3 linked regions of the Anolis sagrei genome follow. The protein of the gene in region 1 purifies or fractionates together with the protein of each later gene. This does not show direct contact. Links are inferred from orthologs where the notes say so. Each region holds a gene or a part of one and is shown on either strand. Other genes may lie near its edges. The genes, in order: SOS1, FRS2 and EPS8.

The links.
Region 2: the proteins of SOS1 (region 1) and FRS2 purify together in Homo sapiens (affinity purification with western blotting; 5 studies listed by BioGRID). This does not show direct contact. The link is inferred for Anolis sagrei from reciprocal best matches to the Homo sapiens genes SOS1 and FRS2.
Region 3: the proteins of SOS1 (region 1) and EPS8 purify together in Homo sapiens (affinity purification with western blotting; 5 studies listed by BioGRID and IntAct, with this or other methods). This does not show direct contact. The link is inferred for Anolis sagrei from reciprocal best matches to the Homo sapiens genes SOS1 and EPS8.

What each region holds. Positions count from the first base shown.
Region 1 is NC_090021.1:22,281,456-22,291,949, reverse strand, and holds the start of SOS1 (son of sevenless homolog 1), read left to right. Parts: upstream 1-6,542; 5' UTR 6,543-6,959; coding exon 6,960-7,046; intron 7,047-10,494. Other genes in the region: MAP4K3 (mitogen-activated protein kinase kinase kinase kinase 3), read left to right, coding at 310-397.
Region 2 is NC_090025.1:143,298,802-143,308,713, forward strand, and holds the start of FRS2 (fibroblast growth factor receptor substrate 2), read left to right. Parts: upstream 1-5,460; 5' UTR 5,461-5,671; intron 5,672-9,912. UniProt on the Homo sapiens protein: Adapter protein that links activated FGR and NGF receptors to downstream signaling pathways.
Region 3 is NC_090025.1:181,602,795-181,612,587, forward strand, and holds the start of EPS8 (epidermal growth factor receptor kinase substrate 8), read right to left. Parts: upstream 4,221-9,793; 5' UTR 3,982-4,220; intron 1-3,981. UniProt on the Homo sapiens protein: Signaling adapter that controls various cellular protrusions by regulating actin cytoskeleton dynamics and architecture. Depending on its association with other signal transducers, can regulate different processes.

The sequences.
Region 1 (10,494 bases):
CATCAATAAATGGACATGAAGGAGAGCATTGCTCGGATAGCTTTTCCGGCTACTGACAGCGATATAATTATCAGTCCTGCCTAATAATCATTCAGTGGCACATATTCAAATTTCATTTTTAAAGTGGACTTCTTATGCAAAGTTATGATTTGGATAAACAAGTATAGCCAACAGTATTTAAAAGGAGAGACATTTTCTGGGGTACCAAATTGCCCTACAACCTGAAGGTTCTTTATCATAAACACACCCTGTTAGCTTGTTATATTTGCCATTATGTTTATATTTTGCTTATATCCACCTTGCTCACAGGGTTGTGGTACTGGAGAGTCGGCCCACAGATAACCCTACCGCCAACAGCAACTTGTACATCTTAGCAGGCCATGAAAACAGTTACTGAGAAGCAATCTGCATGGCAATTTAATTCTGACAAGAGAACACTACTGCTTCGACACTTATGGATGGCTGAAATTGCACAAAAGCAGCAGTACCCCAACTTCAGTTAGTTTGTAATTTATTGTGGCGTGTGAGCGAATGAGTGCAAGAATGTTTGCCTGAATGTTATGGACACATTTAGCGCATTTATATCACATAAGTGCTTGGTTCACTATTATGTAATCTTTGTACATATATGCAGTATTTCTTCGTTGAAATGGAGGCATCTCTTGATTTTATGTAGATAGTGGTCGAATGTCTTATTTGTACAGATGTGTAAAGATAGCTAAGGACAAGGAATTGCTTTTTGGGGTACTATTTTAAGGACACTTTTTTTAAAAAAAAAAGAATGGATACTAGCGCTAAACAGTGCATTCAGATAACACTATTGTATTTTATTATGTAATTTACTAATACAAATAAATCTTACCTTTTAGACATTGTAACCAAGGCTGTTAATCCTGTTACAATCTTGTTTTAAATTTGATGCAAGTACACTGGTGTTTGGTTGCACAAAGTATTAATATGTGATGTATTTAGTCACAAAAGTAAGCTGTGACTTTGTAGATATGATTTGGGTGTTTTAGTTTATTTGGATAGTTTTCTTTGTGAAACTAGCCAGTCGAACACCTGTATTTTTATATTTAAGGAAAATTCTCTAATTATTTTCTGCGCTTGGGGGAATAAAGTAAATATTTTGAATGGGGGGGATCGCAAATAGTGGTACCTTGGCATAATTATAATGTATACAATGTTAAAATAAGGATTATTTTGATTTGTTTTTGTTCTTCAGTGCCACCCATATCATGCAAAAATTAAAAAACATTCCACATTGTGGAAGTGGTTGCTATATTTTGGCGCTAGATCCAGGCATTTGCACCGAAAAGGCCACTGCACATAAATAGTACTCTTTGCAGTACTTCACAGATATTCATTCGCACTCGAATTATGATAAAGATATGCATGTTTCTCTCATTTAAGAGGTAGGTGTCCTACTTGGCAGGACAGGAGTAGCATCCCTAGCTAGTTACCAGTAGTTTCACCCATTTTGTTCTGCATAGCTGCTCTGTTAATCGTCATAGGATAACTATGCACCCTGAGATTCCATAGTGGTTTTCACATGCAGATAGCAGAATGATCCATCTGCTCTTATTTTTCTTTAAGTAGTGGGGTCTTCATTGAATAGTGGTTTTCAAGCTATATTCCAGGAAGCTCTGGAGTTCCTCACAGAGCATTCAGCTTCTCAGCAATAGTGGAAAGGGTTCCTAAAAGAAAGCATTCTTTCCCCTACTTTTTCCCTTGTCTCAAGCAGTTATTGTGGAGCAGGGAGTGTAGCATGAGATCTCACTTGATTCCTGTGGGGTGAGATTAAGACCCAAACATACATAACCCAATAACCTGTGTGAATGGTGTATTCCCTGTACCAAAAATCCCATGCAATATGCCGGGGTTTATTCAGGAAACACATTAATTTCTCTTAAGGCCAGAAGCTTAAAACCTACTGCCATATGGGAATACACCCACAGAACAACTGTTCTTCGTATGAAAATGAGTTGTCGGTTACCGCAGCAATGAATTAATTGTCTTAATTTGGCCTTTTTTCTTTTAAAAAATATTTGGCCTTACTACTGTTTTTCACATTTTCCTTTTAATGTCTTAACACCCGGCCAAAATGATTTAGTTACTACCTCACACAAACAATTTAAATGATTTATTACACATCACAGGAATTTTTAATTTTGAGCGAAAAGATTTTTGATTGTTTTCCAATGCAGTAATATGTATATGCCAAGTTTTAGCTGGGAAATGCACATATTGGCTTTTTTTGTATATGTTCTTTATACTGTGATATAAACTAAGAATAACTACATTAAAAGTGATTTATGGTCTGTATCGATGTTGTTGGTAATGCTTTTGGATATTTCCTAATGTATATAATGTAAAATAAACTTTTTTTAACATGTTTGTTGTATATCTGGATTGCCATCTGCACTCATTTTCTGAAGAAATTAAACATCTGAGGAATGGACAAAGCATCTTAACTAAAATACTGTAATGGAGCATAAAATTAGGCAGTCTCTTAAAGGTCATCTACCAAACCACTTCATAAACTTTGGGTCTTTGCTCAGTGTTGGTGTCATAAAACATTTGGCAACAATAAAGTTTCTGAATGCTACCCATTTACATGAGCCTGCTAGCAACAACATGCAGTCTTTACAGTGGACTCTGCAGAAAATGCTTCAGCTGTAGTTCATAAAAAGAAAGATCAGCCTGAAAATACTGATGTATTATCAGTAAACATTAGAGTTTTACAGTTATATGTCTAGGGTCATGTAAAAGTTTCTCAGGTAGAAAGCGGTTGTGAGTAATGGTAAAGAAATGGTGAAATATTGCGTAACACTCAAACTATCCTACAAATATGATCTGACTATTTTCCCTACAGTAATATAGAATTTCCCCTCCCACCAGTAATAAGCTCTGTTCCAGTCTTCGGCCCAGTACCAGCTATCACAGTCACTGAAGTAAATGCAGCCATACAAAGAAAGAAGCATAGAAAGGCCACTGGCCCAGATGACATACCAGCTGAAATTTGGAAAATGCTCAAAGACTGTGGTGCTACATTTCTAGCATCACTATTTTTTAATTTTTATTGTTTTATAGTGTACACAAGAAGCAAAGCAGACAACAGAAAAACAAAAAAGGGAAAAAAGAGAAAAGAAAAAAAGATCTACAAAAGAGCAAGCAAGTTTACACAAAGGTATATAGTCAGCGCTCATTAAACTTATGAAAAATCAAATTGGACTATGAAGTCACATAGCTGTTGCACCAATGGATAAAGCTACTATACAATGATACAAGTATGGTCAGCTGCCCTGCAGAGATTTCACCACCCTTCAACATCACTGTTGGCGTGCTTCAAGGATCAGCACTCTCAACATTACTATTCAGACTCTGCATGGACTAGGCAGACTATGTGTCCCTGGACTCTCATATATGCAGATGACCTAGCACTTGGTCATTGAAAACGTGCAGCCTTTGTTTCTAGCGCCCATTTTTTGCTTGATATTCAGGCAGTGCTTCTTGTAGGTCAGAGCACAGTCCAGAGTGACTCCCAGGTATTTCGGTGCGCTGCAGTGCTCCAGTGGGATTCCTTCCCAGGTAATAATCCTCAGAGCTCGGGATGCTTGTCTGTTCTTAAGGTGAAAGGCACATGTCTGTGTTTTAGATGGATTAGAATCAGCTGGTTTTCCCTGTAGTAGGCGGTAAGGGTACTTGTGCTATGAGCTTCTGTTCAACCATCTCAAAGCTCCCTACTTGAGCGGTAATGACATAATCATCGTCCTTAAGATTTTTTTTTTGTCAGGAGTGACTTGAGAAACAGCAAGTTGCTTCTGGTGTGAGAGAATTGGCCGTCTGCAAGGACGTTGCCCAGGGAACGCCCAAATGTTTTGATGTTTTATCATCCTTGTGGGAGGCTTCTCTCATGTCCCCGCATGAGGAGCTGGAGCTGGTAGAGGGAACTCATCCGCACTCTCCCCGGATTCGAACCTACGACCTGTTGATCTTCAGTCCTGCTGGTGCAGGGGTTTAACCCACTGTGCCACCCAGGGCTCGTTGTCCTTAAGATAAAACTCAGGGTTAAATAGGCCTGAAACCAGGTTCTTGTGGGTTTTTTCGGGCTATATGGCCATGTTCTAGAGGCATTTTCCCCTGACGTTTCGCCTGCATCTATGGCAAGCATCCTCAGAGGTAGTGAGGTCTGTTGGAATTAGGAAAATGGGTTTATATATCTGTGGAATGTCCAGGGTGGGGCAAAGAACTCTTGTCTGCTGGAGCTAGGTGTGAATGTTTCAACTGTCCACCTTCATTAGCATTAGAAGGCCTGGCTGAGCCTGGGGGAATCTTTTGTTGAAAGGTGTTAAGATGTGCCTGGTTGTTTCCTCTCTGCTGTTTTGCTGTTGTAATTTTTGAGTTTTTTAATACTGGTAGCCAGATTTTGTTCATTTTCATGGTCTCCTCCTTTCTGTTGAAATTGTCCACATGCTTGTGGATTTCAAAGGCTTCTCTGTGTAGTCTGACATGATGGTTGTTGGTGTGGTCCAGCATTTCTGTGTTCTCAAATAATATGCTGTGTCCAGGTTGGTTCATCAGGTGCTCTTCTATGGCTGACTTCTCTGGTTGAAGTAGTCTGCAGTGCCTTTCATGTTCCTTATTTATTTATTTACTTTGCTTATATACCGCTGTTCTCAGCCCGGAGGCGACTCACAGCGGTTCACACACAGTAAAAACAGCAATAATTCAATGCAACACGTAACAATAGACCACTTAACACATTATCCACTAATAAACAATAAGCAATTATAATAACAGTTATTACAATAACCAAACCCAATCGTCTCATCGTCAAAGCCTAGTCCAGGTTCATTGTCCATTGTTCCATTCCTATGTTCAATTACCAAATATTGCACTAGATTACTCGAACGCCTGCACAAACATCCAGGTCTTAAACTTTTTTTGGAATGCCATGAGGGATGGTGCCAGCCTAATGTCCGTAGGAAGGGTGTTCCACAGCCGAGGGGCCACCACCGAGAAGGCCCTATCTCTCGTCCCCGCCAACCGTGCTTGAGAAGCCGGCGGGATCGAGAGCAGGGCCTCCCCGGAAGATCTCAAAGTTCTGGTGGGTTCATAGGAGGAGATGCGTTTGGACAGGATTTGGGCCGGAACCGTTTAGGGCTTTATAGGCCAACGCCAACACCTTTAATTGAGCCCAGTAGCAGATCGGCAGCCAGTGGAGCTGTCGCAACAGGGGGGTTGTATGCTCCCTGCGCTCCGCTCCTGTTAGAATCATGGCTGCCGCACATTGGACTAATTGAAGCTTCCGGGCCGTCTTCAAGGGCAGCCCCACGTAGAGAGCGTTGCAGTAGTGTAGGCGGGATGTAACCAGAGCGTGGACTACCGTGGCCAAGTCAGACTTCCCAAGGTACGGGCGCAGCTGGCGCACAAGTTTTAGCTGTGCAAATGCTCCCCTGGTCACCGCTGAAACCTGGGGTTCCAGGCTCAGCGATGAGTCCAGGGTCACACCCAAGCTGCGAACCTGCGCCTTCAAGGGGAGTGCGACCCCATCCAGCACAGGCTGTAACCCTATGCCCTGTTCGGCCTCGTGTTTGGGCAATGCTGCGTTTGGTGGTCCCTATGTAGACTTGTCCACAGCTGCATGGTATACGGTAGACTCCTGCAGAGGTGAGAGGATCCCTCTTGTCCTTTGCTGAATGGAGCATTTGTTGGATTGGCCTGAAAACGCATCTCCACCTATGAACCGATGCGGACATTAAGATCGCTCTCGGTCCCGCCTGCGTCACAGGCACGGTTGGCGGGGACGAGGGACAGGGCCTTCTCGGTGGTGGCCCCTCGGCTATGGAATGCCCTACCTGTAGACATCAGACGCTGCTGGCGTTCCGGAGGAAGGTTAAGACTTGGCTCTACGAGCAAGCGTTTGGCTAAACAGTGCAACTGAACACAGGAAGACGGTAAAATTGAACATAGGAATGGCACAAGGATTATGAGAATTGATTTTGTTCTGTTATCGAGGCGTCATGAATTGATAATAATTGTTGATTTTGTTGTTGTGTATGATGTGTTTTTAACTGTTTATTGTTGTGATAACCTGCATTGTGTAAACCGCATTGAGTCGCCTAATTAGGCTGAAAAATGTAGAAATAAAGCAAATAAATAAATAAATAAAACCAATTTGTTGAAAAGGCCTGAAACCCTTTCAGTATTGAAATGACTAATAAAAAAAATACTTGAGTCCTCCAGGCCGCAGGTGGCGCTGTGATCAGAAGGGGTAGGTGGCGGTATGACAAGAGGTGCTCTGCTTTGCTGTCTTCCCTCCACCACCGATCATGAAAACACTTCGGCGTTCGACTAGCAAGCCTGGAAGTGGCGAGGGGAGGGGGAGCAAGGTTGTGGAAGGAAGCTCGAGGGCTCGGCTCTCGACTCGCACGCCTGGACGGCGCGGAAAAGGGAAGAAGCGAGGCCAGGACTGGAGCGAGAGGGGGGCGGAGCCAGAGGAGGAGGAGGGGAGGGGGAGCGCGCCGCGACTGCGCATGCCCGGTCGGCCTTTGTGCCCACTGCGCACGCGCCGGAGGTTGCAACCGTCAGGGACGGCAAGGGAAGCGCCCCCGAGAGTTCGAAGCCCTCTTTGGCTCCCTCCCTCAGCCACCGTTGCTTTGCGGCCTGCACTTCCGCTTCCTTCCTGTCAGGGCCGAGGAGAAGCAGAAGGAGAAGGATGCCGGAGAGCCCGGGGTCTGCGTGAGGCGAGGCCGGGAAGGGAGGGATGTCGCCGGCGCCGGGCCTCCACGCCGGGTCCTGGCCCCAGCCTCAGCCTCAGCGGCGCCCTCCGCCTCGGCCCTGCGCAGGTTCGGCCCGGGCCCAGCGACAGGGACAGGCCCCACCAGGCCGGGCTGGGCCCCAGCACTGACTCCGCCGCTTCCCCGACGCCGAGGGCCCGGGACGGGGCGGGCAGGATGCAGGCGCCGCCGCTGCAGTACGACTTCTTCAGCGAGGAGAACGCGCCCAAGTGGCGGGGCCTGCTGGTGCCCGCCTTGAAGAAGGTGAGTCCCGTGTTTCCAAGGAGGAGAAGCAGGGCATCTTCTCATGTTTATTTATATCCCGCTTTGTGTCTCCCTAGGGAGACTCAAAAGCGGTTCGCAACTCAAGCGTGGCAATACAACCTCAAATATACACGTATTAAACGTCATTGAAAGCAGGTCAGATCACTGACTAGATCTCCAAAACGGAGATCATGAAACAAAGCTAGAAGTTTGTTGTTTAACTTCAACTCTGGCCCCTTCCACACAGCTAAACAAAAACCTATAATAATAATACAACGACGGATTCTCCCCTATGAACCATCAAGGTTGTTAAAGATCTGGAGGGGCCCTGCTCTCGGTCCCACCTCCTTTACAATCGCGTCTGGTGGGGATGAGGGACAGGGCCTTCTCGGTGGTGGCCCCTCAGCTCTGGAACTCATCTTCTGATGTTTATTTATATCCCGCTTTGTCTCTCCATAGGAGACTCAAAAGCGGTTCGCAACTAAAGCGTGGCAATACAACTTCAAATATACATGTATTAAACGTCATTGAAAGCAGGTCAGATCAGTGACTAGATCTCCAAAACGGAGATCATGAAACAAAGCTAGAAGTTTGTTGTTTACCTTCAACTCTGGCCCCTTCCACACAGCTGAACAAAAACCTATAATTAATTAATTAATTAATTAATTTTACTTCTATACCACTGTTCTCAGCCCGGGGGCGACTCACAGTGGTGTACAACATAGGAACAGCAAAATTCACGACACAGTATAAAAACAATTCACAATCCAGCATTATACAAAAACATCATTACTACGAAAACCATTCAGCGTCGTCTCATCGTCCAAACCACAATCCAATATAATTTCCCGTTGTTCCGTTCCTGTAGTCATTACCAACCATTGCACTTCTTATTCGAATGCCTTCTTGAACAACCAAGTCTTTAATTTCCTGCGGAATATCATCAGGGAAGGTGCCAGTCTAATGTCCACGGGAAGGGTGTTCCACAGCCAAGGAGCCACCACCGAGAAGGCCCTATCTCTCGTCCCCGCCAGCCGTGCTTGTGAAGCAGGCGGGATCAAGAGCAGGGCCTCTCCGGAAGATCTCAAAGTCCTGGTGGGCTCATAGGTCGAGATGCGGTTGGATAGGTATCTTGGGCCGGAACCAGTTTTGTATACTGGTCTTCTTCTCACCTCCGTTCGAGGGACTCAGGCCGGTTTCCAACATCAATATTACAGACAGTCATTAAAACATCATATTCTAAATCACACTAAAACATTAAAATAGCAAAATACAATCATATAATTGCAGTGGTCAGTCATCATCAAAAATCATTATTCATCGTCACCCATCCATGTCACAGGATCATGGCTCATTCGTCGAATGCCAATCCCCAAAGCCAAATTTTCACCTGTTTCCTGAACGTTAAGATAGAAGGGGCAGTTCTGATCTCCAGTGGAAGGGAGTTCTAGAGTCAAGGGGCCACCATCAAGAAGGCCTGGTCTCTCGTCCCCACCAGCCGCGCCTGTGAGGCCAGTGGGATCAAGAGCAGGGCCCCTCCAGACGATCTTAGCAATCTTGATGGTTCATAGGGGAGGATACGTTCGGACAGGTAAATTGGGCTGGAGTCGTTTCGTATTATTATTGTTATTATTATTATTATAACAACAACAACAATAACAACGGATTCTCACCTATGAACAACAACAGATTCTCCCCTATGAACCATCAAGGTTGTTAAGATCTTCTGGAGGGGCCCTGCTCTCGGTCCCACCTCCTTCGCAATCGCGTCTGGTGGGGACGAGGGGCACGGCCTTCTCGGTGGTGGCCCCTCGGCTCTGGAACTCTCTCCCGTTGGAGATTAGATCTGCCCCTTCCCTCCTGACTTTCAGAAAGCTGGTAAAATCTTGGCTTTGGAATATAGCATTTGCAGAATGATGATTGAGTCAATAACGGCTGACCATACTGGCAGATGGTGATGAATTTGTGATTTTACTCTGACGACCTGGATTTGTAATTGTATGATCTGTATTTTAATGTATTTTTGTATTAATGTATTATGATGCTATTATGTTTATTCTATGTGTGTATGAATTTTCTGCTGTTAGCCGGCCTGAGTCCCTCTTCAGAGGTCGAGAAAACCAGGTTATAAAAGCTCTAAATAAATAAAGAAACTTTATTTTTGTGCCCCACCTCCATCTCCCTGAAGGAGCTTATGGTGGCTTACATATGGCACAATGTGCCTAAAGCAACGCATTAAACATACCATAGTCAGTTGTTCAGCAATTTTAAAAACTTGACATTATACAAAATTTCCTTTGACCAGAAGTTGGCCATGTTGGGTGCCGCTTTTATTTATTTGGTTTTTTATTATTACAACACTTTTATGCCGCCCTTCTCACCCCAAAGGGAACTCAGAGCGGCTTACAAGATATATATATATATATAATATATTATATTATTAGCATAGCACAATATCTGTATTATATATTACTATATTTATTTTATTTATTTTATTTTATTGACATCATTTTACCCCCACTCTTCTCACCCCCATAGGGGGACTCAGAGCGGCTCACAATGGCAATGATTCGATGCAAGATATATACATACAATATATTATATTATTGGCATAGCACAATATCAGTATTATATATTACTATATTTATTTTATTTTATTTACATCATTTTTACCTCCGCTCTTCTCACCCCCGCAGAGGGACTCGGCACGGCTCACAATGGCAACGATTCGATGCCTCAATGCTTACAATTATAAAAGCAGAATAAAATCATACCATTAAAACAGCATTAATTATCAATCATAAAGGCATTTCCATTTTAACAATCGTCGTCTGGTCCAATTCCATGTTCAGGTGCTGTTATATCCATTAGCCAAAAGCCTGGTTCCACAACCATGTCTTCAGTTTTCTTCTGAAAGAAAGGAGGGAGGGCGCTGATCTAATTTTGCTGGGGAGCGAATTCCACAGGCGGAGGGTCAGCACCGAGAAGGCCCTGTCCCTCGTCCCCACCAGTAGCGTTTGCAAAGTTGATGGGACCAAGAGCAGGGCCTCCCCGGCAGATCTAAAATATTGTACTATACCATTATATTATAATATTATTAATAATATTACATCTAATATAAAATATATAATTATAATATTGTGTTAGTAATATTATATTGTATTACATTACATTATATATATATGTATATGTATATGAATATATTATATTATATTATTAGTATAGCACAGGAGACAAGGTGGAACTGCTTTCCTGGCCCCCTCTCTCTTCACTCTGGCTCAGAGAAGCAGTTGGTGCTGAGGGGAAGGGGTTCCAGCTGATTTATACAAATATTAAAACTGTATTAAACATCATCAATATTCAAAACAATTCAGGTTGAAACTATAAAAGCACACAGAACCACAGCACCCCCAGGCCAGATCATAAAACAAAGCTAGAAGTTTGTTAT
Region 2 (9,912 bases), on another chromosome or scaffold:
GACGACTGGATGATTTGATGTTTTTATCATCCTTGTGGGAGGCTTCTCTCATGTCCCCGCATGAAGAGCTGGAGCTGATAGAGGAAGCTCATCCGCCTCTCCCCGGATTCGAACCTGCGACCTGTCAGTCTTCAGTCCTGCCAGCACAGGGGTTTAACCCACTGCGCCAAGGGGGCTCCTACTATTTAATGTACTATTAAACAATCTACTATTAAAACAGGCTTATACTATATCCCATACTATACCATACTACAAGTTCTGTGGGCCCTTCCACACAGCCCTATATCCCAAATATCAAGGCATAAAATCCCACAATATCTGCTTTGAACTGGGTTATCTGAGTCCACACTCAGAGAATGTGGGATTTTCTGTCTAGATATTCTGGGATATAGGGCTTTGTGGAAGGTCCCTGAATTGACGTGATATTAAGATTGAAATACAGTAATTAAAAGGAAATTAAAACAAAGACAAACTTAATGTAACCCAGTTTTGAAAAACAGTTTTGTGAATGCAATATGCAAATTTATTTATTTATTTGCGACATTTATGTGCCGCCCTTCTCACCCCAAAGGGGACTCGGAGCGGCTTACAAGTCATATGTATATTGGGAGGGATAGCCAATAGTCCAGAGGACAGGAGCAGAATTCAAAACGATCTTGACAGATTAGAGAAATGAGCCAAAACTAACAAAATGAAGTTCAACAGTGACAAATGCAAGATACTCCACTTTGGCAGAAAAAATGAAATGCAAAGATACAGAATGGGGGACGCCTGGCTCGAGAGCAGTACGTGTGAAAAAGATCTTGGAGTCCTCGTGGACAACAAGTTAAACATGAGCCAACAATGTGATGTGGTGGCAAAAAAAGCCAATGGGATTTTGGCCTGCATCAATAGGAGCATAGTGTCTAGATCTAGGGAAGTAATGCTACCCCTCTATTCTGCTTTGGTTAGACCACATCTGGAATATTGTGTCCAATTCTGGGCACCACAATTCAAGAGAGATATTGACAAGCTGGAATGTGTCCAGAGGAGGGTGACTAAAATGATCAAGGGTCTGGAGAACAAGCCCTATGAGGAGCGGCTTAGGGAACTGGGCATGTTTAGCCTGAAGAAGAGAAGGCTGAGAGGAGATATGATAGCCATGTACAAATATGTGAGAGGAAGCCACAGGGAGGAGGGAGCAAGCTTGTTTTCTGCTTCCTTGGAGACTAGGACGCGGAACAATGGCTTCAAACTACAAGAGAGGAGATTCCATCTGAACATTAGGAAGAACTTCCTAACTGTGAGAGCCGTTCAGCAGTGGAACTCTCTGCCCCGGAGTGTGGTGGAGGCTCCTTCTTTGGAAGCTTTTAAGCAGAGGCTGGATGGCCATCTGTCAGGGGTGATTTGAATGCAATATTCCTGCTTCTTGGCAGGGGGTTGGACTGGATGGCCCATGAGGTCTCTTCCAACTCTTTGATTCTTTGATTCTATGATTCTATGTATAGTAATTAAAAGCAAATTAAAACAAACAAAGATGAAAATGTAGTTTTGTGAATGCAACATGCAATTTTAATATTATTTCTTGGATAATTTTCCAGTTGCTTGTGTTCCTGTTACATGAGAGTCTGTTATATATATGGTTAAAAGATTGATAGCAGTACAGACGTCTAGAAGAAGCCTAGACAATTTAAATATTGTAGCAGTCACAATCTTTATGCTGTAGAAATAGTATGCTGCGGAAGGTTGTTTTTCTCAGACAGCAGTAACAGAGTATTTTTTTGGCTAGGGCTAACTCTCGCAGAGAGAAAAGTGGTTAAAAGGTCAGAAATGTGTGGGGTCCAGACCAGAAGCACAGAGTAATTATTATTCTCCTTTAAAGCCGCCCTCTTTTTCATGTGCAAAAGGGCCTCTCGCAAGTATGGCCCAAGAAGTGATTGTGAGAAGTGATCTGGTGAGGAATGAGACTGACTCCAGCGAACTAAAGGAGAACATGGGAAAGAATACGGGACAATTTATTTAACAGATATATTCCACTCGGCATAAAAACAAGTTATGCTGGTTGACTGCTTCTTCCAGGACTGAGCTGGCTACTTTCTATCACAATAGAGGTCACAGGTGAAAATATGTCCTCTATGCGGCCTAATCTCCATCACAAAAGCCCTACACAATGGCCGTTCTTCCTTGTGAGAGTGCAAGGACTGGAATAATAGGGGCATGACAGGTCAAGATTGAGATGCCTTGGGAGAAAGAGAAGCTAATGCTGGCCCCAACCATCCTGAGCTGTTTGGGGCTGAGATACATGCCTCACTTCGGAGGGATTATTACCCACTGGACTTACTTCTGGGGAAATATGTTTGGATGAGGATGTAAGCCAGAAACTCATGCAAAATATCAGCTAGGAGAATAGTTGATTCAGGCTTATGTTAAATGTGTAAATTAAATAAAATTGCTATGAAACATAATGGAAAACAGAATTATATTTATTATAACACAGCGAATACCTTGTACTCCAAAATTGCACAAATAAGTGGAGTATTATGTTACTACCAATGCTATCAAAATTATTAAGAATATTATGGGAAGACTTGCTATTTCTCCTTTAACACATTGGATGTTAATAACTTGCTGAATATTTCATTTTGGGAAATACTACAAGTCTACTTCATGTTATCTTTCAGTACTTTCAGTGTAACACATTTGTATTAATATAATCTGAATTTATAAATGGTTTCATCTGTAAACCAATTTGATTAATCTGTTCTGAATTGGGAAATGGTTTCCAAGAAACACACCTAATAGTGCTATATTGGGTATGTTTCTCGGAAACTGTTTCTAAATATATTATGATGCTACACTTGGCTATTTCCCAAACAAAGGAAAGTAGAGGGAAATAATGGATTGAATTTGGAACTGACCTAATGAGGTGATGTTTATAAAAGAAGGGCATACAATTTATTGGTTTGACTTTCACCCAAAGATTCAAATTATGTAATCTTTTAGAGATAGAGCAACCTAGTTCTAAAAGTGTCAGAGGATTGATCGAAAGGTTGGCGGTTCGAATCTGGGGAGTGGAGAGAGCTCCTGCTGTTAGCCCCAGCTTCTGCCAACCTAGCAGTTCAAAAACATGCAAATGTGAGTCGATCAATAGGTACTGCTCTGGCAAAAAGGTAACAGCGCTCCATGCTATCATGCTTGGAGGTGTCTATGGACAACGTCGGCTCTTCAGCTTAGAAATTGAGATGAGCACCAACCCCCAGAGTCGGACACAACTAGACTTCATGTCATAGAAACCCTTTACACTTCCCTATGTAACAAAATTTGAGAGAAAAAAATCTGTTCCTGGTTTGAAAGTGTTATTTCCTATTTAATTGTGCTATACTTACTTTGAAAGTAGTTGTTATACTTCAGAAATTTCATTTTTGTGGCTGAAAGAAACTCTGGTGAATTGATTGAGAATCTATCAGATATTAATTTAAAAACTACAGCAAAATGTGCTTCTTGCATGTTTTATGATAGCAGCAATTAGGAAATTATATTTATAACACAGGAACAAAAATGGTGTTCAATGTGTTGTTGAAGGCTTTCATGGCCGAAATCACTGGGTTGCTGTAAGTTTTCTGGGCTATATGGCCATGTTCCAGAAGCATTCTCTCCTGATGTTTATCCTGCATCTATGGCAGGCATCCTCAGAGGTTGTGAGGGCTGTTGGAAACTAGGAAAAACTGGGTTTATATATCTGTTAAATGTCCAGGGTGGGAGAAGGAACTCTTGTCTGTAGGAGATGTAAATGATTGAATTGACTACCTTGATTAGCATTTAATGGCCTAGTAGTTTTCAAGGTGTGGCTTCTTATTTATTTTATTTATTGTGTCAAGAGCGAACCAAACAGTTGTATTGTATTAAAAACAAACAAAACACAAAGTTTGCAAACTTGGCATTCTATTAAATGTCCTTTGACCAGTAGCTGGCCACTTGGAGTGCCTCTGGTGTGGCTATAAGAAGGTCCTCCATTGTGCATGTGGCAGGGCTCAGGTTGCATTGCAGTAAGTGGTCTGTAGCTTGCTCTTTTCCACACTCGCATGTCGTGGATTCCCCTTTGTAGCCCTATTTCTTAAGGTTGGCTCTGCATCTCGTGGTGCCAGAGCGCAGTCTGTTCAGCGCCTTCCAAGTTGCCCAGTTTTCTGTGTGCCCAGGAGGGAGTCTCATTTGGTATCAGGCATTGATTGGGGTTCTGGGTTTGAGCCTGCCACTTTTGGACTCTCGCTTGCTGAGGTGTTCCAGCGAGTGTCTCTGTAGATGTTAGAAAACTATTTATTGATTTAAGTTGTTGGTGTGCTGGCTGATACCCAAACAAGGGATGGGCCGGAGATGTCACTGCCTTAGTCCTTTCACTATTGGTTGCTACTTTCCCAGCGGTGCAACAGTGTAATTTCTCCAGTGGTGTAGGGCGCAGACACTCTGTGATAATGCAGCATGTCTCATTAAGAGTCACATCTACTGTTTTGATGTGATGCAGGCCCGTAGCCAGGATTTTGATTCGGGGGATGCTGAGTTTGATTGGGGGGGGGGGGGGGGGTGAAGATCTACCCTAGCAAACCTTTTGTATCGTTACCCCAATACCCCCATGCATATGGGATATATTGAGCATGGTGATCAGATCATGATATGAATAAACATAACTGTTTAAATAATGTACCAGAATTTGGGGGCGGGGGGGGGGCTTAAGCCCCTCAAGCCCCCCCTCCGGCTACATGCCTGATGTGATGTTTTCCATACTGGGCATGCATACTCAGCAGCAGAGTAGCAAAGTGCAAAGGCAGATGTCTTAACTGGGCTTCTTACTGCCTGAGTGAATCCTTTGTTGAGAGGTAATTAGTTACCTCTGATTGTTTCTTTTCTGGAGCTCCCCTGCCTTTATTTATTGTTATTATTTTAGAGGTTTTTTTAAATACTGGTAACCAGATTTTGTTCATTTTCATGGTTTCTTCCTTTCTGTTGAAATTGTCCACATGCTTTCCTGGCAAAGTTTGATCAAAGTGTGGATTGCCTTTGCCTTCCTCTGAATGTGAGAGAATCCAATTTAGGGTGAATTTACACTATGGAATTGCTACAGTTTGTCGCCACTTTAGCTGCCATGGACTCCTGGGAGTTGTAGTTTGGTGAGGCGCCATTTCCCCCACTAGGCCTAGGCCTGCCTTGCCTTCTACAGTTTTTCCTTCCCAGGCCAGAGTGCCACCTTTCTGGGTTGCTAGGCAACGCATGACTTGAGGGGGGAGAGGGGGGCTTATTTCGGCTCTTGCAAATCTTCCCCGAAGGCCCCTCCCCTTAGGTTCGGCGTTGCCTAGCAACTCAGGAGGGCGGTGCCCTGGGGGGGGGCGTGGCCTAGCCCTCTCAGTGGGTGGTTGCCTCCCTCCCTCCCTGCTTTCCTCCCTCCCTCCTTCCCCCCGCCCGCTGGGTAAGGCGAGGAGCCTCGCCGACGTCAGAGCATCCCGGCGCGCGCGCCCAGGAGAAGCGCCCCTCTCCCTCCGTTTGCCCCGGAAGGAGTCGCCCCCTCGGCCTCGGAAGTTGTCCTGAGCGAGGCCTGCCTGCCTGCTTTCCCTGCCGCTGTTGGTTATCGGAGGTCTGCTTGGCGTCGCGGCGGGGAGAGTCTCCGGCTACCCACGGGCGGCTGGGCCTCATGAAGGAGAAGGTGAGCGGGGAAGAAAACCTTCCGCCAACAGCCCAGGCCGGGCGCCTCTCCTCCTCCTCCTCCTCGGCCTGGCTTGGGAGCCACTGCTGCTGCTGCTGCTGCTGTTGTGAGGAGAGAGATTGAGAGCGGGCGGGAGGAACGCCTTGGGCTTTCCTTGTGGGCAGGGTGGGTGCTTATTAAATGTAGACGCCTCTCTGTTGACGCGCGTCAGTCGTGGAAGGGAGGCTGTTGTCAACAAATGCCCGCCCTGGCTGCGGTTTGGGCTGGGCAGCTCCCTTGGCTGAAGGGGTCATTGACGTGTCCGGCTGGGTGCTTTGCCTCCAGGAAGTGTCTATAATATTGCCATGTCTGTGCGTGTGTGTATGTGTGCTTTTCGCTTTTCAAAGCACCGAAACTACACTTGCGCTTCCATTGCAAGTATAAGGGGTCTCTCGAGGCCAGCTTCCTATTTTTCTGCAGTTGAGTTCTTGATAACAACAACAACAACAACAACAACAATTTTTATTGATTAGCCAATTGGCCTTATCAAAAACAAACAGTGTAGACACAACATGCAATATAATAATAATAATAATAATAATAATAACAAACTTTATTTGTACCCCGCTACCATCTCCCCAGGGGACTCGGTGCGGCTTACATGAGGCCGAGCCCAAATACAACAATACAAGCAATAAAACAACAATACAAGTAATTAAAATTAAAAAAAACCATAGACGATAAAATATACAACATTATCAATAAGACAGCACACAATTAAAAACTGGGAAGCCCAAATGTAAAATTAAAATTGGAAGTAATGCTGGGGCATGGACGAAAAGGTGATAGTGGTGTTTATGGAAGGGCATACGGGCAGACCTAAAGAAATGTAAAGTGCTTTGGAGGACAAAGTGCTATGGGATCATTATTCCGGGAAGGCACACTGGAACATACATCTAGTCCTCTTAAAATAAAATCTAAATATACAGGTAGCTATAGATATATGCATCAACTATCCTCATCTCCCCTACACTGCACCCCAATCTGATCTATGTACTCTGATCTCCTTTTAGCAGCTTTAAACAAATAAAGGGCAACTTTTGTTGTCAGAATGGGGTTATAACCAACAAAAAAAAGGGAAGTTTTGGCCACTGTATCCCTACTGGTTCTACTGCAAATAAAAGGCCATAAGTATTGTTTCTTTATAGAGGTGTAGGATGTGTCTACACCACGCATGGGCAAACTTTGGCCCTCCAGGTGTTTCGGACTTCAACTCCCACAATTCTTAACAGCCAGTAGGCTGTTAAGAATTGTGGGAGTTGAAGTCCGAAACACCTGGAGGGCCAAAGGTTGCTCATGTCTGAGGTACACTGTACAATTAATACAGTTTTACATCACTTTAACTGCCATGGCCCAGGACCCTTCCACACAGCTGAATAAAATCCCTCACTGTCTGCTTTGAACTAAAATTTATGGCAGTGTGGATCCAGATAATAATAAAAAATACTTTATTTATACCCGCCTCCATCTCCCCAAGGGGATTCAAGGTGGCTTACACAAGGCCAAGCCCACAATACAATACATCAGTATACAATAGACACAGCAATAAAATTAATGAAAAAATAAAAATAACATACAAAACAGTACATTATAAATAATACATCAACAAAATAAAATCACATCATTTAAGACGGGGGCGGGGATAAATCTCAGTGGGCAGGGCCAATTCCAAAGGATTAAAAAAATTAAAAACACTAGGTGAGACAGCAGTTTATTGTACCTGGACAGGAGATTCGGGGGATAAATGAGATTGGATTGCACTACTAGGGGAGGTAAAGTGCTTGTGAGGGCATTTGCAGGACTTGGTCAGGTCAGGGAATTCATTCATTCATTGAAGGCATATTGGAACAGCCAAGTTTTCAAGCTCTTCCTAAAGATTGCCAGGGTGGGGCTTGCCTAATATAACTCATTTCAAAGCAGATATTTTGGATTTTTTGTCTTGATTTAGGGCTGTGTGGAAGGACCCCCAGTGTCCTGTTGTAGCTTTGTCAGGTCTTTATCCATTGCCTCACTGAAGTACAACTCCCAAAATTCCATAGCATGCAGCCATAGCAGTTGAAGTGATAACAAACTGCATTACTTCTACAGTGAATGTGCACTCATAGTATGCTGAGCTAGGCAGACACATATTTCCCACATGTCCACTGCCTCTTCTTTCAGAGCACAGAAACTGGAAGAGCCACTAGATAACAAATGTTGCTCATACATTGCATACCTTGATGCAATCTATACAGAGTGTTCCCCAAAAAACGTGTATACAGCCTCTAACAGCAAATAGTAGCTATGGTGATTATTTGGTGGCTATGTACATATATTTATATTGAGGAATGGCTCTTCTTTCCTTTCAGAGCACAGAAACTAGAAGAGCCACCAAATAACAAATATTATTTGCCCGTACTTGTATTCCTTGATGCAATCTATACAGACTGTTTCCTAAAAATGTATACAGCCTCTAACAGCAAATAGTAGCTATGGTAATTATTTGGTGGCTATGTACATATATTTATACAGAAGATTAAATGTTATAATAATGATTTAGTCAGTTACAAATTGCAATTTTATGGAAGGTGTTCAAATGATCATCCCTGTGTAGCAGTGTGCTATTCACAAACCCACAGTTGCAAACTTCACTTGTTTCTCTTGTACTTTAATGACACTTCTCTACTAATGGCATCTTCAATTATTTTAAGGATACAGTATATATATTGGATTGCTGTAAGTTTTTTGGGCTGTATAGCCAAGTTCCAGAAGCATACTCTCCAGATGTTTTGTCTGTATCTATGGCAGGCATCCTCAAGCCCAAAAAACTTACAGCAACCCAGTGATTCTGGCCATGAAAACCTTCGACAATACATTATATATTTTGTTTGAAATAAATTGCAGTAAATAAATAAAGTTCCAGAATTACAAGTAGTTAAGGGTGTATTTGGTGGGGGGGGATGGTGGGAGACATCCTGTATTTTATAATGGATGTCCTTGAGATAAATAACATGGAGGTGGAAGCAAAGACAGATGCTGTCTTGTGTGTTGTTTTTATTGTAGTGATCACTGGCTTAGTTGTGAACCTGCTTTGTAAATCAGTTAAGCTGATGTGCATGAACATATGTAAATTATGTTCCTGCATGTCTCAAGTTGATTGTGCATCAATATAAAACGGCTTAAAACAGACATCCTCAAACTGCGGCCCTCCAGCTGTTTGGGCCTCCAACTCCCAGAAGCTCCAACAAGCTTGTTCAATTGTTTGGAATTCTGGCAGTTGAAGGCCCAGACATCTGGAGGGCTGCAGTTTGAGGATGCCTGGCTCAAAATATTGCAGTCCATTATACAGTTCGAATGTATCCCTCTCTATGAACCATCTTGGAGATTAAGATCTTCTGGGAAGTCCCTGCTCTCAGTTCCACCTCCTTCGCTGGTACAGTTGTTGGAGACGAGAGACATGGCCTTCTCTGTGGTGGCCCCTCAGCTGTGGAACCCCCTCCCCAGTGAGAGTAGATCAGCCCCCTCCCTCCTGGCTTTTAGAAAGAAAGTAAAAATGTGGCTATGGGACCAAGCCTTTGGATAATTGTGATGCAATAAATGAATAAGGAATATGTGCAATGACAACTGGAATGGCTTTGAATTATGATCTTGGACTGTGTGGTTTTAACAATTGGTGTAATGTCTAGATGTTTTAATTTCTTTTGTTTTAATGTACATGTTTATTTTTAATTGTATGTTGTTTTTATGGCATTGAATTATTGCCTATGTGTAAATGCCGCTCTGAGTCCCCTTTGGGGTGAGAAGGGTGGGGTATAAATATGATAAATAAATAATCAGAATAGTAGACATGATTTAAACAGTAATCTCTCAAAACTGGATTTCTGAGGCTCTTCAAATAAAATATAACTTGGTCACTGTGATTTTCACAATACTTTGATTTATTTAATTTGATGAACTGCCTTTGGAGATAAATACTGCTCCTTACACATCAAGACAGTTTGATCTTGTAAGCAGGAATGGAGATGTTTCTTTACTCAGAGATGACCTATAACTGATGACTCCAGTATAGCATCAAGCCTTTCATATTTACCATAGACCTACAGGAATTGAAATGTGTTCTCAACATCTTTTTCCCCCCTTGAACATGTATGTTGTACTTATTTGAGGTAGTGGAAGCAGTGCTTGTGTGTGTGTGTGTTTATTTGTGATGACAAGAAATGGCT
Region 3 (9,793 bases), on another chromosome or scaffold:
TGTAAGATATATAAACCTCACTTGCCTAGTTTCCAACAGACCTCACAACCTCTGGTGCCTGCCAGAGATGTGGGTGAAATGTCAGGAGAGAATGCTTCTGGGACATGGCCTACAGCCCGGAAAACTCAGTGATTCTGGTCATGAAAACCTTCAACAACACAATGTATAAGGATATTAGAAATGTATACCAATTAGTCCAGCATTGAAATGACGACTAGGTAGCAATAGACCAAGTTAGACAGTAAACGGAGACATGAGTGAACATTAAACATATATCATTAAAAGCAGTTGGAAATGAATTGCATTTGAAATGGCTAACGCAGATGTTTATTAAAAATGTATCATAGCCATCATAAAGTACAAATGAGTTTGCCAGTATTACAGTATCTTAGTCCGCCTCCTCTCCATATGCTAAAGCGCATAAATGTGTTTTCAAAAGTTTCTTAAAGGAGAGGAGGGTAGGGGTCGTTCCTATTTCTTTAAGGAGGGAGTTTCAGAGATGGGAAGCGATCACAAATAAGGCCCCCTCTCTCATTCCCACCAGCCGTGCTTGAGATGGGGGCCTCCTCCACTGACCACAGTGCATAAGGGAAATGTGATTGATTGAAATAGTCTGGGCCCAAACTGTTTGGGGCTTCATAGCCCGGAAGCGGACTGACAACCAGTGCAGCTGTCACAGCATGGGAGTCATCCACTCATGATATGGAGCTCCAGTTAGCTATCTAGCTGTCCATCTCTGCACTAATTGCCCACCGGAGCACCCAGTGTTTCTCAACCTGGGAGTCGGGACCCCTGGGGGGGTCACGAGTGGGTGTCAGAGGGGTCGCCAAAGACCATCAGAAAACACAGTCTTTTCTGTTGGTCATGGGGGTTCTGTGTGGGAAGCTGGGCCCAATTCTATAGTTGGTGGGTTTCAGAATGCTTTTTGATTGTAGGGAAACTAAATCCCAGCAACTACAACTCCCAAATGTCAAGGTCTACTCCCCCAAAATCCACCAGTGTTCACTTTTAGGCATATTGAGTATTCATGCCAAGTTTGGTACAGATCAATCATTGTTTGAGTCCACGGTGCTCTCTGGATGTAGGTGAACTACAATTCCAAAACTCAAGGTCAATGCCCACCAAACTGTTCCAGTATTTTCTGTTGGTCATGGGAGTTCTGTGTGCCAAGTTTGGTTCAATTCCATTGTTGATGGAATTCAGAATGCTCTTTTATTGTAGGTTAACTATAAAATCCCAGCAACTACAACTCACAAATGACAAAGCCAATCCCCCATAAACTCCACCAGTATTCAAATTTGGCCCAGTGAATGAAAATACATGCATATCAGATATTTACATTACAATTCATAACAGTAGCAAAATGACAGTTACAAAGTAGCAATGAAAATAATGTTATGGTTGGGGGTCAACACAACATGAGGATCTGTATTGAGGGGTCGCAGCATTAGGAAGAATGAGAACCACTGGTTAAATACTTGTGCTGGTAGGACTACTGATCGACAGGTTGGTGGTTCAAATCCAGATAGCGGGGTGACCTCTTGTCTCAGCTCTAGCTTCCCATTTGGGGACATGAGAGAAGCCTCCCACAGGATGGTAAAGTATCAAACATCTGGGCATCCCCGGGGCAACGTTCTTGCAGATAACCGATTCTTTCATGCCTGAAGCTACTTGCAGTCGCTCCTGACACAGGGAAAAAATGCAGCTTCTGAACTATCTTCAAAGGCAGCCCCACATAGAGAGATTGTAGTAGTCCAAATGGGGATGTGACTAAGGCCAAGTCCGGGGTCTCCCATTGAGATGTGGGGAGGCTGTTTTCTGCTATTCTAAAGACCAGGACAGGGAGCAATGGATTCACATAGCAGGTAAAAAGATTCCACTTAGGAAACAATTCATGGGGAAATTCTTACAACAAGGATCAAATTCAAGCAAGAACTTACATTTCCAGGACTATTTGACAATGAGACACAAAAAGGAACATGAGAGAATAGTGCAGTACATGTCAACATGTACTCTCTGTAGAGACACCAAGGTGTTAGTTTACAAAACTATTGTCCTCCCAACTCTGCTATATACCTGCAAAATGTACACTGTCTACAGATGTCACACTCAACTCCTGGAGGCAGGCATGTAGCCGGGGGGGGGGGGGGGGGCTTCAGCCCCCCTCCCCCGAAATTCTCATGATGGTCTGCGAAAAGGACTTACTGGTACATTATTTAAACTGTTATGTTTATTCATATCATGATCTGATCACCATGCTCAATATATCTCATATGCATGGGGGTATTGGGGTAACGATACAAAAGGTTTGCTAGGGTAGATCCTCTTTCACTCAGACTCAGCCCCCCCCCCCCCCCCCCCGAATCAAAATCCTGGCTACGGGCCTGCCTGGAGGGATTCCTTCAGTGCTGCTTCTGAAAAATTCTGCAAATCTCTTGGGAAGATAGGCAGACAAATGTCAGCGTGCTGGAAAAAGCAAGACCACCAGCATTTAAGTGATACCCTTATGCCATCAACTCTGTTGGACCGGCCAAGTGGTCCAAATTTCCAACCACCATCATTGAAGTGATGCTGCTACGCCATCAACTCCGCTGGACTGGCCACGTTGTCCAAATGCTGGATCACTGCCATCCAAAGCAGTTACTAAACTCCGAAATCAAGAAGAGGAAATATAATGTTGGTGGACAGGAAAAGAGATTTAAAGATGGGCTTAAAGCCAACCTTAAAAACTGTGGCATAGACACCGAGAACTGGGAAACCTTGGCCCTTGAGTGCTCTAACTGGAGGTCAGCTGTGACCAGCAGTGCTGCAGAATTCAAAGAGGCAGAATAGAGGGCGAAAGGGAGAAATGTTCCAAGAGGAAGGCATGAACGGGACTGCCTTCCACCTGGAAACTGATGTCCTGACTGCGGGAAAACATGCAGATCAAGAATAGGTCTCCACAGACACCTACGGACTCACCGCCAAGACACTGAACTTGGAGGACCATCATCCTCAGAAGACGAGGGATCGACTAAGTAACATGTCAACATTGGAAAGAGTGTTATACGCTCAAAGGTGGAAAGCAACAGATATACCAAGAGCTGTTTGATAGTGGAATATGTTGCCTTAGAGCAGATATGGGCAAGCTTTGGCCTTCCAGGGGGGTTGAACTTCAACTCCCACCATTCCTAACAGCCTCAGGCCCTTTCCTTTCCCCCCACAGCCGCTTAAGCGGCTGTGGGGGGAAAGGAAGGGGCCTGAGGCTGTTAGGAATGGTGGGAGTTGGAGTCCAAAACACCAGAAGGGGCAAAGTCTGCCCATAGAGTCCATAGCGTCTTTGAATCAGTCTAGATGACCATCTGTCAGGAGTGCTTCCACTGTGTGTTGCCGCCTGGCAGAAGGCTGGACTGGATGCCCTTTGGTGCCTCTTCCAACTCCTTGACTCTCCGAAAGAGAGCTCCAAGGAGGTCCTCAAAACCATTGAGGAGCAGCAGAGGAGAAGCTATGGAAACTATACCTCCTAGCCCAGAAAGCAATGGAAACCAAGGGGTACATCAAGCATCTTCCCAAACAGAAACCCAGCTGGAAAAGGAGGGAGGGAAGGCACAGGTGTGGCCGCTCAACGCTCAGGTTACAAGGTAAACGCGGAGCGAGGGAGGGAGGAAAGAAGGAAGGAAGGGGAATCGAGTCGGAAGCAGCCTTGATCCGTATAGATCCACCTTGGAGACCCCGCTTCCCTGTCTCCACAGCGAGGAGCCCCTTTCCCCCGAAGCTGCCATTTTGTCACCGCAACACCGCTCCGAGGGGGTCGATTCACACGTTACGCGCGCCTTGACACGCAAGGCAGGGCGACTCAAGGGGAAACACGGGTCTCGAGGGTCAGGAAAGGCAGTCGAGGTAGGAATCTGCCTTGATTCTTCCCTCCCAAACAGAGCAGCCTTTCCCCAGCTCGAGAAGGGTAAACACAGCCCGCACCATCATCCCAGTCTCTCTGCTTACCTGGGCTTCTTTGCCTCCTTCTTCCTTCCAAAAGCGCCCCTCGTTCAAGGGAAGAAGGGTTGCAAAGGGACGCCCCGACAGGTCCCAAGACCAGCAAAGGCGGCTAGGCGACCGTCCCAGGCAGGAGGGCCGCCTGAGGCACGGAGGAGGTCCTGGAGAAGCGGGTGGAAGGAGCAGAGCCGCCGCCAAGCCGAACAAAGTGCAGCCGGAGCGAGGCAATCCCGCGCCAGGTTCCAAAGTGCCCGCCTCTGCCTCTCGCTGGCCTCGCGTTCGGGGCTTTTCCCGCAGGCACGCGCGCCCCCTGGTGGACGAACCCAGACTCTGCTGGCCGAGCAAGGCACAGGTTGATCCAGTAGGTGGAAATCCACACCATATGTCAGTCGTTCCCAACCTTTATTATTATGATTACCAGGGACCACTTTGACCAACATTAGTACCAATAGGTTGTTGTAGGATTTTTCGGGCTGTATGGCCATGTTCCTGGCCTGTAGCGAGGGGGGGGGGGTTAGGGGTTCAACTCCCCCCCCCCCCCGAAATGTTTCAGATTTTTTAAAAAACCCAGTTTACTCATGAATTTTAACTGGTTAACCAAATCCCCATGGTAAGTCTATGAGATGCAAACAATTAAGAATCCCTCCAGAACTACAAGCACTATCTCAAGCAAATATTTATTTATTTGTTGTTGTTCATTCGTTCAGTCGTCTCTTCGTGACCTCATGGACCAGCCCACGCCAGAGCTCCCTGTCGGCCGTCACCACCCCCAGCTCCTTCAAGGTCAGTCCAGTCACTTCAAGGATGCCATCCATCCATCTTGCCCTTGGTCGGCCCCTCTTCCTTTTACCTTCCACCTTCCCCAGCATAATTGTCTTCTCCAGGCTTTGCTGTCTCCTCATGATGTGGCCAAAGCACTTCAACTTTGTCTCTAGTCTCCTTCCCTCCAGTGAGCAGTCGGGCTTTATTTCCTGGAGGATGGACTGGTTGGATCTTCTCGCAGTCCAAGGCACTCTCAGCACTTTCTTCCAACACCACAGCGCAAAAGCATCGATCTTCCTTCGCTCAGCCTTCCCTAAGGTCCAGCTCTCACATCCGTAGGTGACTACAGGGAATACCATTGCTTTGACTAGGCGGATCTTTGTTGCCAGTCTGATGTCTCTACTCTTGACTATTTTATCAAGACTGGACATTTACTTATTTATTTATTTATTATTCGAACTTATATGCTGCCACTCCCCTGGGGCTTACAAGAACAGGCTAAAATCGAACACAATTTAAAAACAATTTAAAAACAGCAGTATCAGAGATCAAAGGCCCATCGAAACACATATGTCTTACATGCCCTGCGGAAAGCTGATAAGTCCCGCAAGGCATGGACTTCAGGTGGCAGAGTATTCCAGAGTGATGGTGCCACTGCTGTAAAGGCTCTGCGTCTGGTTGCTGTTAGACGCAAGGTCTTGACACTGGGAATTTCCAATAGATCTTGGTCCTCAGAACAGAGGGATCTGTGGGGTTGGGAGGGGGTGAGGGTGAGGTGGTCCCTCAGGTACATCGGCCCCAGACCATGAAAGGCCTTAAATATTGACAATTTATTCACACTGTCATTACTAGCAGCAATAGCCGATGTAGTGAAGCAACCAAGTTGGGTGTGTGTGTGTTGAATGCTCTCATTAAAGAGGCCAGACTTGGTGGAGTTGGTTGACAGGGGCGGAGCTGCAGGCTATTGAAGGCTGCTCTGCTCCCTGCTGTACTCTTTGCTTCAGCGTGAGCTACAAGGCAGGTTTCAACCCCCCCCCCCTGAAAATTTCAAAAACCCCCCCTGAAAATTTCAACCCCTCCTGAAATTTTTTTCTGGCTACGGCCCTGCCATGTTCTAAAGGCATTTTCTCCTGACGTTTCGCCTGCATCTATGGCAAGCATCCTCAGAGGTAGTGAGATCTGTTGGAATTAGGAAAAAGCGTTCATATATCTGTGGAATGACCAGGGTGGGACAGAGGACTCTTGTCAGTTGGAGCTAGGTGTGAATGTTTCAACTGATCACCTTGATTAGCATTTGATTGCCTGGCAGTGCCTGGAGCAATCTTTTGTTGAGAGGTGATTAGGCGTCCTTGTTTGTTTCCTCTCTGTTGTTGTGCTGTTCTAATTTTAGAGGTTTTTTTTTAATACTGGTAGCCAGATTTGGTTCATTTTCATGGTTTCCTCCTTTCTGTTGAAATTGTCCACATGCTTGTGGATTTGTGGAAGAGCCCTCAGAGTCACAAACATGGTAGCCCTTTCTCTTAGCTAAGAAACCCTGGTACCTTGATCATTTCAAGCTGCAATGCTTTCAGTTTTGTCAGAACGATTTCCATGGAACCCTATGCATCCTACTCTTGAGCAGACATACCTAAGATAGTGCTTGTTGTGGACCACCTCACACTGCAATTGTAGAATAAGTGCACACAAACAGACGGGATGGTGGGATACCACAAAACTTGTGACAAGCCCCAGCTCTAAGAACTGGCTCACACAAACATCCCAGTCATTATGCTTTTTTAACTGTGATGTTCAGAACTGAACACAGTCCAAGGATAATGTAATGTAATATTTATCCAGCAGCATATTTTACTTGAACTTGGACCATCTCTGAAGCATCTGCCCAGCACTTGAACCTAGGAGTAGACTCTAGAGACCAGGGGTTGATTCCTCACTGAACCATGGAAACCTATTGGATGACCTTGAGCAAGTCACACGCTCTCAGCCCTTGAAAACCTTGTTATGAGAGTTGCCATAACTTAGAAACAACTTGAATGTACACAACAGCAACAGCAGATAGCTGCTGAACCCCAAGTGTTTTTGACCTATAGCTCCCATCATCCTTAGCTGGCATAGCCAATAATGAGAGATTATGGAAAGTGTAGTCCAAAAAGATACAGAAATCCACTGTTGCCTAAGTGACTCTAAAGACTTTACTGTACTAGTTCTCCTTGTCTCGGTCTGAGTTGTCACCAAATCCAGATGTTTCTGTCAATGTAGATGACCTGAAACTAGAGATAGAATACTCAACTGATTTATTATTAGGCAGATTAATTTGTATTAATTTCCTTAATTAGTGGCAGACCTATTTTACAGATTTGTTATGTCCCTTCAAAGTCTATTCCAATTTATCTCAAACCTATCACTAATTGTCAGGGCAAGGTTTTCTTCAGAGGTTTGCCATTGCCTTTTTCATAGGCTGAGAGTGTGACTTACCCCATGAATTTCTATGTTTGAGCAGATATTTGAACCCTTTACTCCCAGAGTCATAGTCAAATATTCCAGTTGCATCAATGGCATGCAGGGGAATCAATCTCACAGAATACATTGAGGGTTACTTCTGATTAAATACACATAAGCTTGGACTGATAGACTGTTAGACTTGATTGCATTTCCATCTTGTGCTGTTATAACAATATGCTACATATATGAACAGCTTGGAAAGTAGTTTAGCACGTAATTAAAACCAATGTACTACCTTGCACATCTCTGACCGCATCCAAATTTGGAAACCAAGTAGGACTTGGTCTTGTTCATGCTTGAAGACCCTGAGAAAATCCCAGGGACCTCCAGGAAGGGTTAGGAAGGAAGGGATGCTGCCTGAAACCTTGGAAAGCCACATTCAGTCAAAGTTGGCAATACTGGATTGAATGTACTAATGATCTGGCTGCACGTAATTCAGCCTTCTCTTCCTATGAAGATAATTATAAATTGGAAGAGATATCTGAGAAACACTTTCTATATTCCAGGAATGGGAATCTGTAGTCCTCCTGATGTTTCTGTGCAGAAACTCTCAGCTTTCTTTACCATCTGGCTGGAGCTGCTGGGAGTTGCAATCCAACAACCTCTGATGGGCTACATGATTTCCTCCTCTGTGTATCATAGAGCTGAAAGGGACCCCAAGACCACTGGGGCCCATTCCCTGTTAAATTCAGGATTTCCAGTGAAAGCATTCCTGGGAGATAGCCATCCAGTCTCTTTTTAAAAGAGAAAGTCATCCATCTAGGAAATTGGTTTGCTTTTCAAACCACTCTTAATGTCAAGATGTTCCTTCTAATCTTGTTGTTACTTGTTGTCAGGTCAGCTCCAACTCATGGCAATGCTATGAAAGAGAGTCCTCCAAAAAGCTCTAGTAATCAACTTCTCATTTCTGGTCTTTCAGGGCCCTTCCACACAGCACTATATCCCAGAATATCAAGGCAGAAAATCCCACATTATCTTAGTGTGGACTCAGATAACCCAGTTCAAAGCAGATATTGTGGAATTTTGTGCTTTGATATTCTGGAATATAGGGCTGTGTGGAAGGGCTTACAAACTCAGCGCCATGGCTTACTTGACTGAGCCAATCCACCTATAGTACATTCTTCCACTTTTACTGCTGCCTTTCACTTTGACAAGCATTGTAATATTTATAATACACATAATACAGTAGAGTCTCACATATCCAACATAAACGGGCCGGCAGAAGGTTGGATAAGAAAAAATATGGGATAATAAGGAAAACATCAAATTACATTATGATTTTACAAAACAAGCACCAAAAGATCATATTTTACAACAAATCAACAGAAAAGGCAGTTCAGTACACAGTAACATTATGTAGTAATTACTGTATTTATGAATTTAGCACCAAAACATCACAATGTGTTGAAATAGCTATGGATCCAGGCAGGAGGCAGACTGCGTTGGATAATACACAACTTTGGATGAGTGAAGGTTCGATAAGTGAGACTCTACTGTGTTATGATATAATATCATGGTATTTCATAATAGACTGGGGGCCCTTCCACATAGCTGAATAAAACCCCACATTATCTGCTTTGAACTGGAATATATGGCCGTGCGGACTCAGATAACCTAGTTCAAAGCAGATATTGTGGGATTTTCTGTCTTGACATTCTGGGTTATATGGCTTTATAGAAGGACCCTAGATTTGCTTGTTATTGCAGTGTGCCTCCAAGGGCCCTTCCACACAGCCATATAACCCAAAATATCAAGGCAGAAAATCCCACAATATCTGCTTTGAACTAGGTTATCTGAGTCCACACGGCCATATATTCCAGTTCAAAGCAGATAATATCGGATTTTATTCAGCGGTGTGGAAGAAGTCCAAGTCATTTTCAACCTATGGTGACCCAAAGACAAACCTATCACAGTGTTTTGCTGGCAAGATTTGTTCAGAAGAGGTTTGCCATCACCTTACTCTGAGACTGAAACAGTGTAACTTGCTCAAGGTCACCCATTATGTATCATGGCTTAACAGGAATTTGAACCCTGATCTCCAAAGTCATAGTCACACTCTCAAACCACTATGCCATACTAGTTCCCTGGTTTTTACTTAGAACCCATTTGCTTGACTTTATGTTGAACTGTCTTCCAGCAAGCACCAAATGGGTTGATTTTCAGCTTTCATACCCTACTGCCATCTGCCCATATAGAAAGCAAAAATGCTATACTACAAACACAGAGACACTGGGATGTGATGTGTGCAGCTAAATCGTATTTGTAGATATATCTAGTGAAATTCCTACCCTGCAAAAAATATTCAGTAGTCTGCAGGAGAATGAAGAAGGAGAGACAGGAAGAGAGATGACAATCCTGCAGCATCCATAAGCAAGTTCCAACCTGTGTTACTTTATACAATCTTGGTATATACGTATACTGCCTGGCAGTGAAATGATCATCGCTGAGGCAACAGCTGCAAGGATTAAAACCAAATCAGGAACTATAGATTACATTCTCCTGGCCATGAGGGAGGGAGGGCAGCAAATGGGAGGGATATAAGGTGTATTAAATGTGACAG